2 linked regions of the Bombyx mori genome follow. The protein of the gene in region 1 interacts with the protein of each later gene in a pairwise test. Links are inferred from orthologs where the notes say so. Each region holds a gene or a part of one and is shown in the gene's direction. Other genes may lie near its edges. The genes, in order: protein suppressor of forked and cleavage stimulation factor subunit 2 tau variant.

Region 1 (4,358 bases):
AATTATGTACACTAGAGATCTAAATCAATTCTGGTTTGAAAAAAGGCTTAAGTATTAAGGAATGCAGCTATGTCTAATAATTATCAGTATAGTTTGATGTGAAAGGTAATAAAAACTTTTTTCTGTGATACATTTTTGAGAATGGTAAAAATATAGATGTTTTTTATTGATAAATTATTCTTTCATACTCTGGTATAAAACTTACATAAAACTGAAGAACTAGGTTATTTTTCGATCAAAGGAAACTTTCTTTTCTGAAATGAATATCCGGAGACCGCTACTAAAACACTATATTATAAGAATGATTTATTAAGAAACTTAAGCTTATATTAATATGTACACTTTAAATTGAAGTTGTAGGTTAGGTTAAGTTCTATCTTGTTGAAACGGTCGCCTCCTTTCTAGCGGCATCCTGGAGAAGCTGGGTGTCTACCTCATCAGCCGGCAGTTGTACGTATCGAACCACGGAGCCTCTTATAAAACAATTTTTCACTGATAACATATGAGGATACTTTTCAGAGTCAATCACGCTTATATCCGAAAGCTTTATATTGAGATATTGATCCACAGAATGCAACGTCCCACATATGCTGAGGTCATTTTTCAGCTCGACGACTACATCCTTACCGACTAACGATTTGAAAAACGAGTAAAACAACATTTTTCGTTTTGTTTGTTTGAAAACGCGCTGAAACAGTAATTTGGCTTGGGTTCTTCAATTAATGTCATTTAAAACTCAAAGTCAAAATCATAAAATGTCAATGCCAATAGCTTTTTGTAGCGGTGTGAATCGGTATTTTCCGTAATTTTGTTAGTTTTGTGCAGGAGCACCATCTCATTTCCAATGTCTTGCATTTACTACGTTTTCGTTACCTGTGCTTAAATTTTTAAAACAAATCGGGACTTTTTGGCGGGAACGTAAGGAGTGAAGCTGTGTGATTTATTTTATTTTGTCTATTTAGTGTTTCTTCAGGCTTAAATGTAATAATGTAATCTAATTTAATGTGATAATGGTGGTTTATTGACTGTTTAATATCTGTGAAAGTGTACAAATGTGGGTAAATGAAATAAAGCCGCTGGACATAGCTTCTCGAGATCCTCCAAAAAGTCCACTGAAAAAATCTCAGTCAATGACCACCATTTTACTGAGAATATGTCATCTCATATCATCTCATCTCATCTAATTTAATTTAATTTCATCGCAGTTGATTAATATCTAAAATTAATCATCTTCATTTCATGTCATTTCACTACATAATTGTAACATTTTTCATAAAAATAAGAATATTAATTAAAATAAGACATGACTTAAAGATCTTAATTACCAGGTCATAAAATTCCTTAAAGCGAAATGTATAATCTATAGCGTCCGCTAATCCCGTTTGAGCTTGGTTGAGTTGTTTAATTTTTTAAAGAAAATTGTGTTTTTTTATTGTTTTAAATCGATTTTAACACTGAGAGTAATGTGTCCACAAACAATCAGTACCTCATTTACTTAGTTCTTCGAAAAACTGTTGCTCGGACTTAAAACCAGATAGATAACCTCAAACGTAAACTTCAAAATGGCATCTGTAGATGAAATCGCCGACATTGTGAGTTTTTACGCATTAGTCGCATTAATTGAATATAATTAAAAACTAAAAGAACAAAGGTTTTCTTTTTTGATTTGATATTCCTGAATGTTGTGTAATTCGTTTATATAAGTGCATGTATTAGCAATCGATTGTTGTGTAGTTCTAAACAAGATAGTCATTTAGAAAAAAAAAAGAGGATCCTTAGTTTTATAGATACCGAAAACACGAGAGAGTTGTGACTGCGCTCCAAAACCGGAAGCCATTAAGTAACATTGACTTCGACCTGTAGTAACGTAAACTAATAATCAACCACTAAACCAACATTACAAGCGATTACACTGGAACCAGCTGTCTGCTAAGATCATTACAATTTCTCAAGAAAAAACCAAATTGTAGTACCTAGATCCTATATAATTACTCTAATCCATATTTTAAAAACGCCAATTAGCTGTTTAGCCTCTTACTGGTGGTAGGACCTCTTGAGAGTCCGCGCGGGTAGCTACCACCACCCTGCTTATTTCTGCCGTGAAGCAGTAATGCGTTTCGGTTTGAAAGGTGGGGCAGCCGCTGTAACTATACTTGAGACCTAAGAACTTATGTCTCAAAGTGGGTGGCGCATTAACGTTGTAGATATCTATGGGCTCCAGTAATAACTTAACACCAGGTGGACTGTGAGCTCGTCCACCCACCTAAGCAATAAAAAAAAAATTATAATGAGTTAGATACCCCACTGAAGCTTCATTACACTTTATAACTGTAAACTTCTTAGATGTAATTAAGACTATTTATAAAAAGTTTGTATGTATGTATAAAAAGTACAACAGCTTGATCTCATGAAACATATATTGTATTATATTGTATTGTAGTGATTTTTATTTCATTATGGGCTCTAGTAAATATTTAATACCACATGCAGACTGTGAGCCCAATCGCTCATCTGCAGTTATAAATGAAATAGAGTAAAGGATATATAAATAAAGGATAGGAAAATAAGTAGACAATTCAGAGAAATTTTAATGTTATTGAAAACAGAGTAATCGGAAATGTCTAACTTTTCAAGTTTTTTGTTAATTACATCAAAACACAGAAAAAACTGGTGTTGACACTTAGCCATGTGGACTTATCAAACACCCTACTGGTAAATTAATGATTTCAATCTCTTTGGAAATTTTTAGTAATAATTCCAGTCATGTTGCCACTAATTTTGAAGTAATAATAAGCAGTTTACAAACTACAATAATTGTTCTAGGATATAAGTTATATCTATGTTATCTTCCTAGACCAGTCCCTTCAAATTGTGTGTACATATTTGTATAGATTGAGATGTAGACATTAAGGGTTTTGCTGATGCATCTATCTATTTATTACATAGAATGGTGATTGAACATATTGTATTGATTGCAATTAATACTGTTACAAAACTTTGCCAGAGCCCATAAAATCAATGTAAATGAGTCGTCTAAATTATATATTGTGTAATTTAAGAATTGTTTAGCAAAATTACCATAAAATTAGGTATTGTTTTTTATTTAACAAATTAATATTTGTCTCTCTTCATGTTTTTCGCTAGGATTGGGGTAATGAACGCCTATCCCGCGCCCAGCGTGCAGTCGAAGCCAACATATACGATGTGGACTCTTGGTCATTGCTAGTAAGAGAAGCCCAGGCCCGAAACATCAACGATGTCCGAACCATGTACGAGAAGTTGATAACGGCATTCCCGACCACAGGACGTTACTGGAAAATATATATCGAACAGGAGGTAATTATAAGCAACATTAAATGTACCTCCTTAGACATGGTTTTTAAGAGTATATTTTTTTTTTTTTGTTATATAGGTGGACGAGCTCCCAGCCCACCTGGTATTAAGTGGTTACTGGAGCTCATAGACATCTACGACGTAAATGCGCCTCCCACCGTGAGATATAAGTTCTAAGCTCTCAAGTATAGTTACAACTGCTGCCCCACCATTCAAACCTTTTAAGAGCAATCCTTCAAACTGCAGTGGGCAGTTCATGCTGTGTCCTTATGATATGTCCAAATGAATAATGGAGGCTGGTAACTGGTTATCATTGCCTCAAGACAATGTCCATATTGTGAGACCACTAGTTTCACTGTATAATATTCTCTAAGTAAACTTCACGTAATAAATGAAGATTCATTTAAATCTTTCTTGTAAAATTTAGATTTTAGTATGTAGGATAAGATTATGATAAGATAGGATAGGAGATAAGATTAATGTAATGTAGTTATTAATTAATTTAAACAATAATTTAATATTATAATAATTTCAGATGAAAGCGAGAAATTTTGAAAGAGTCGAAAAGGTCAGTATACAAAGAGAGTAAGTTTAAAAAAAACAAAGCTATCTGTGATATTAACTATAGGCAAAAATAGAAATAGACAAATACTATATTTTAATTACAGTATGCTGGTGCGTGGCATACCTAGACGATATTTCCAAAAGAATGTCTATGATAGTTTTATATAAAAAACAATTAGTTGTGTTAAATGAAATAAAGCTGTGTAATTGCTGAATTGAAAATAATCTTTTTTTTCGGTTAGGGTGTCTATGTGTTCAGACATGACGGAGGAGACTTTCCATGGCGAAAGGGGAAAAGAGAGCAAATAAAAAAAAAAATTACCCTATATGAAATAAACCGATTTCGCCTTCGAAGGTCACTTTTGACATGTAAAATAACCCCATTTTAATATTTAATAGTAATCTTAGAATTAATTAATTCGTTTTGAAACGAGAACCCAGGTTCTACATCCCTGCAAAGG
Region 2 (3,795 bases), on another chromosome or scaffold:
ACAAGTATTAACTCTAATCAAAGTTTTGGTATTAGCTAGCTGTTTGAATAAGTAAGTAAGCTTGACTAAGTTTTTATATAAAAATAAATTGCTTAAGTACAAGAAAAAGTAAGAATACATGTGGGATAATTCTATTTTTGAAAAGACAACTAACCCGAAACTACAAAATTTTGTGTCAATCAAAATAAAATAATATAGGATTATATTTGTTTACAAATCTAGCACAACCACCGATACACAATAATCCCGGACCGCCACCCAACCAGTACAACAATTGTAAGTACTAATTTATATATGTACGTACATATATATTATTATGTAGATTGTTATTAATAGTTTGAATGACTTAATCTCCAATGTTAATTACCAACTAATTTATGACTTGCACACCATGTTCATACATTTCTTAGCCAATTAAAAATAAATTCACGTCATTACGGATCCTCCAGATCCACTAACAGTGCTTTTAGGTATCTCAAGCACCGGTCATCGTTCTCGTCGAACCCGTCGCTTGCAACGAAGGGTTCGGCGAGTAAACGAACCCACAGACACAACCTACTGAGTTTCTCGCCGGATCTTCTCAGTGGATCGCGTTTCCGATCCGGTGGTAGATTCTGCGAAGCACTGCTCTTGCTAGGGCCAGTGTTTGCAACTTCGCCAGGTTCGAGCACCGTGAGCTCACCTTAAGACTATCAGCTGAGGTAGGAAAAAATAAAAAAAAACATCTAAACCATCAATATAATGAGAGTCATCAAAGATTAGCGCAAAGTAATTGAAGACATGAATGGATGAAGGGGATATGATACAATTTGTTAATTTTGAGAAAAAGGGTAACAAACTTTTGTTACTTGTACTTTTTTTTGTACATAACTCCTTCATCACATGCAATTTCTAAAAAGAAGCTTTTAAACCTGGAGTTTTAATATGATTTATAGGCACATAACACCTTCATTAAATCTTAAAAATGATACTTACTCCCTTCATCCACTCATGTCTTCAATTGCAAGTCTGCAATGTATCGCTATGTTTAGCATTCGCCAACTCCATGTAATATAAGACGCATCTTGGTGTTAAGTGTTTACCGGAGCCCATAGACATCTACAACGTAAATGCCGCCACCCACCTTGAGATATGAGTTCTAAGTTGTAGTTTGTAGTAGTCTGAGTTTCAGTATAGTTACAACGGCTGCCCGACCTTTCAAACCGAAACGCATTACTGCTTCACGGCATAAATAGGCAGGGTGGTGGTACCTACCCGTGCGGACTCACAAGAGGCCCTACCACCAGTAATGACGTAAATCGCGCCACCTACCTTGAGATATGAGTTCTGAGGTCTCAGTATAGTTACAACGGCTGCCCCACCCTTCAAACCGAAACGCATTACTGCTTCACGGCATAAATAGGCAGGGTGGTGGTACCTACCCGTGCGGACTCACAAGAGGCCCTACCACCAGTAATGACGTAAATCGCGCCACCTACCTTGAGATATGAGTTCTGAGGTCTCAGTATAGTTACAACGGCTGCCCCACCCTTCAAGCCGAAACGCATTACTGCTTCACGGCATAAATAGGCAGGGTGGTGGTACCTACCCGTGCGGACTCACAAGAGGCCCTACCACCAGTAATGACGTAAATCGCGCCACCTACCTTGAGATATGAGTTCTGAGGTCTCAGTATAGTTACAACGGCTGCCCGACCTTTCAAACCGAAACGCATTACTGCTTCACGGCATAAATAGGCAGGGTGGTGGTACCTACCCGTGCGGACTCACAAGAGGCCCTACCACCAGTAATGACGTAAATCGCGCCACCTACCTTGAGATATGAGTTCTGAGGTCTCAGTATAGTTACAACGGCTGCCCCACCCTTCAAACCGAAACGCATTACTGCTTCACGGCATAAATAGGCAGGGTGGTGGTACCTACCCGTGCGGACTCACAAGAGGCCCTACCACCAGTAATGACGTAAATCGCGCCACCCACCTTGAGATATGAGTTCTGAGGTCTCAGTATAATAGCCTATTTCATTGAATCATCGTTAAATTGAATCTCCAACAGCCCGTCCGTCCATGGATGTTGATCTTCGCGGGTCGCGAGCTCCCGGTCCCGCGGCGCCCCCTAACGCCATGCCCGCGCTGCTCGACCAGGACATGCGCAGTCTGCCGCCGGTCGCCCCGCACCCGGTACCGCCGCCGATGCATCATCCCCAAGATCCGTACGTATTTATTGGACGACTTCTGAGCTCACCTACTAGTTAAGGTTACGCTGAAATAGCCTCTCAAGGCTATCAGCTTAGGTAGGAAAAAGGTAGGAAAAGAAAAAACGTTTGAAACGACAGCTGAAATTTTGCTAAAAATCGTCGTGGTCTAAAGGATAAGATGTCCGGTTTAGCCCGGGAAGCAATTTATGGGCGAGACCTAATCAGTGTTGATACTTAGTAAATTATATCTTTGTCTGCATCATTAGGTCCTCTCTCGTACTTGCTTAACTATGTACGTTCGGTATTAAATGTAAAATTTTCGCAATTCAAGAATAAAAGAAGAAAAAAACTTCTTTCACGATAAAAATAGGTTTTTATCAAATGAAAAATAGCTGTATGAATAAAACAAATTTCAAAATGATTTCGAAGCGACGAAAACATTCTATGAATTTTAAATATGTAAATTTTTTCTAAGGTCAAGTGAAGTCTTGTATTTGACTACAAAGCAAAAAAACATTAAGTAAAAATGGCACCTCACCACTATTATTATTGGTATTTTCGTTTGTATAATAGCGGGTATATCGTAAATTAATTTCGATAAGTAACAGGAAATTCTTTTAACCTACCTAATGCATCGAATTATTTTTCTTCAAGTTTGATCCTCTTTGTGGAGACGACGGAAGAGTGAGTTCCATAAAAAAATCATCTGCCTAATATGTTGTTAATATGTGAGGTAGAATGAAACATATTATTGTTTCAAACTGGCTTTGATGTTATTAGCCTTGTCCAGTTTCTTAGGGATCGATTGGCGTTTATTGACGTTTTGCGGTTATATAAATTATTTATTTTTATGAAATATTATTCATGAATATGAAAAAGTTATTTATAAAATCGTGTGTATTCATAGATAAATTCAAATCTAAAATAAATAAAATTACCATACTAACTTTTTAAACTACTATGTAAAATGCTCTTTAATTTGTGTAAATGATCAAAATAAATAGGTAGGTATTACTTTTTTTTTAAATGAGTGAGAAATGAGTTCATGAGTTTACAATCTTTAAATAATACGGCCGTCTAGTCTATGCCTTCAGTTTTTTTTTAAGTTCTAAAATGTTTCTTGAAAACCGCAAAAAATCAAATCAAAATTATTTTGTCACTCTAAAAAGAACGATTTCATAACGCATTATGAACGCAGAATGTTCAGAAACAATAACATCAATACCCGTGTAATAGATGTTTTTAATAAGGCAAAATGCGAATGTAATATGCACCTTTGAGAATGGTAGTTATTGTTGTAATGTTGACCCCTGACTCCTGATAAACTATATTTGTTTATATATTTTATCATTATTATTTTATATACAGGGTGTAATCCGTCAAGAAGCTGCTAAATTGACGCGACCGGAAAATATTCTCCATTTCGTTATATGTACTGGTATTCGTTCCTTGATCGAATTTCGACCTTAATTATTGACATCTAAAGTTTAAAATTCATCTAATATATTGCATTATTGTCTTTTTTATTTCTAGTTTGAAAGGAAAATAGTCTACTCACTGATTAAAACCAAAAAAGATTTCTTGATAATACAAAGTTAA

The links.
Region 2: the proteins of protein suppressor of forked (region 1) and cleavage stimulation factor subunit 2 tau variant interact in a two-hybrid assay, tested with the Drosophila melanogaster proteins (2 studies listed by BioGRID). The link is inferred for Bombyx mori from reciprocal best matches to the Drosophila melanogaster genes su(f) and CstF64.

What each region holds. Positions count from the first base shown.
Region 1 is NC_085129.1:20,030,149-20,034,506, forward strand, and holds the start of protein suppressor of forked, read left to right. Parts: upstream 1-1,339; 5' UTR 1,340-1,562; coding exon 1,563-1,592; exon of another isoform or gene 1,593-1,651; intron 1,652-3,144; coding exon 3,145-3,336; intron 3,337-3,868; coding exon 3,869-3,901; intron 3,902-4,358. Other genes in the region: U6 snRNA-associated Sm-like protein LSm2, read right to left, coding at 374-661. UniProt on the Drosophila melanogaster protein: Essential protein, may play a role in mRNA production or stability.
Region 2 is NC_085112.1:5,026,396-5,030,190, forward strand, and holds part of cleavage stimulation factor subunit 2 tau variant, read left to right. Parts: intron 1-222; coding exon 223-276; intron 277-2,054; coding exon 2,055-2,211; intron 2,212-3,795.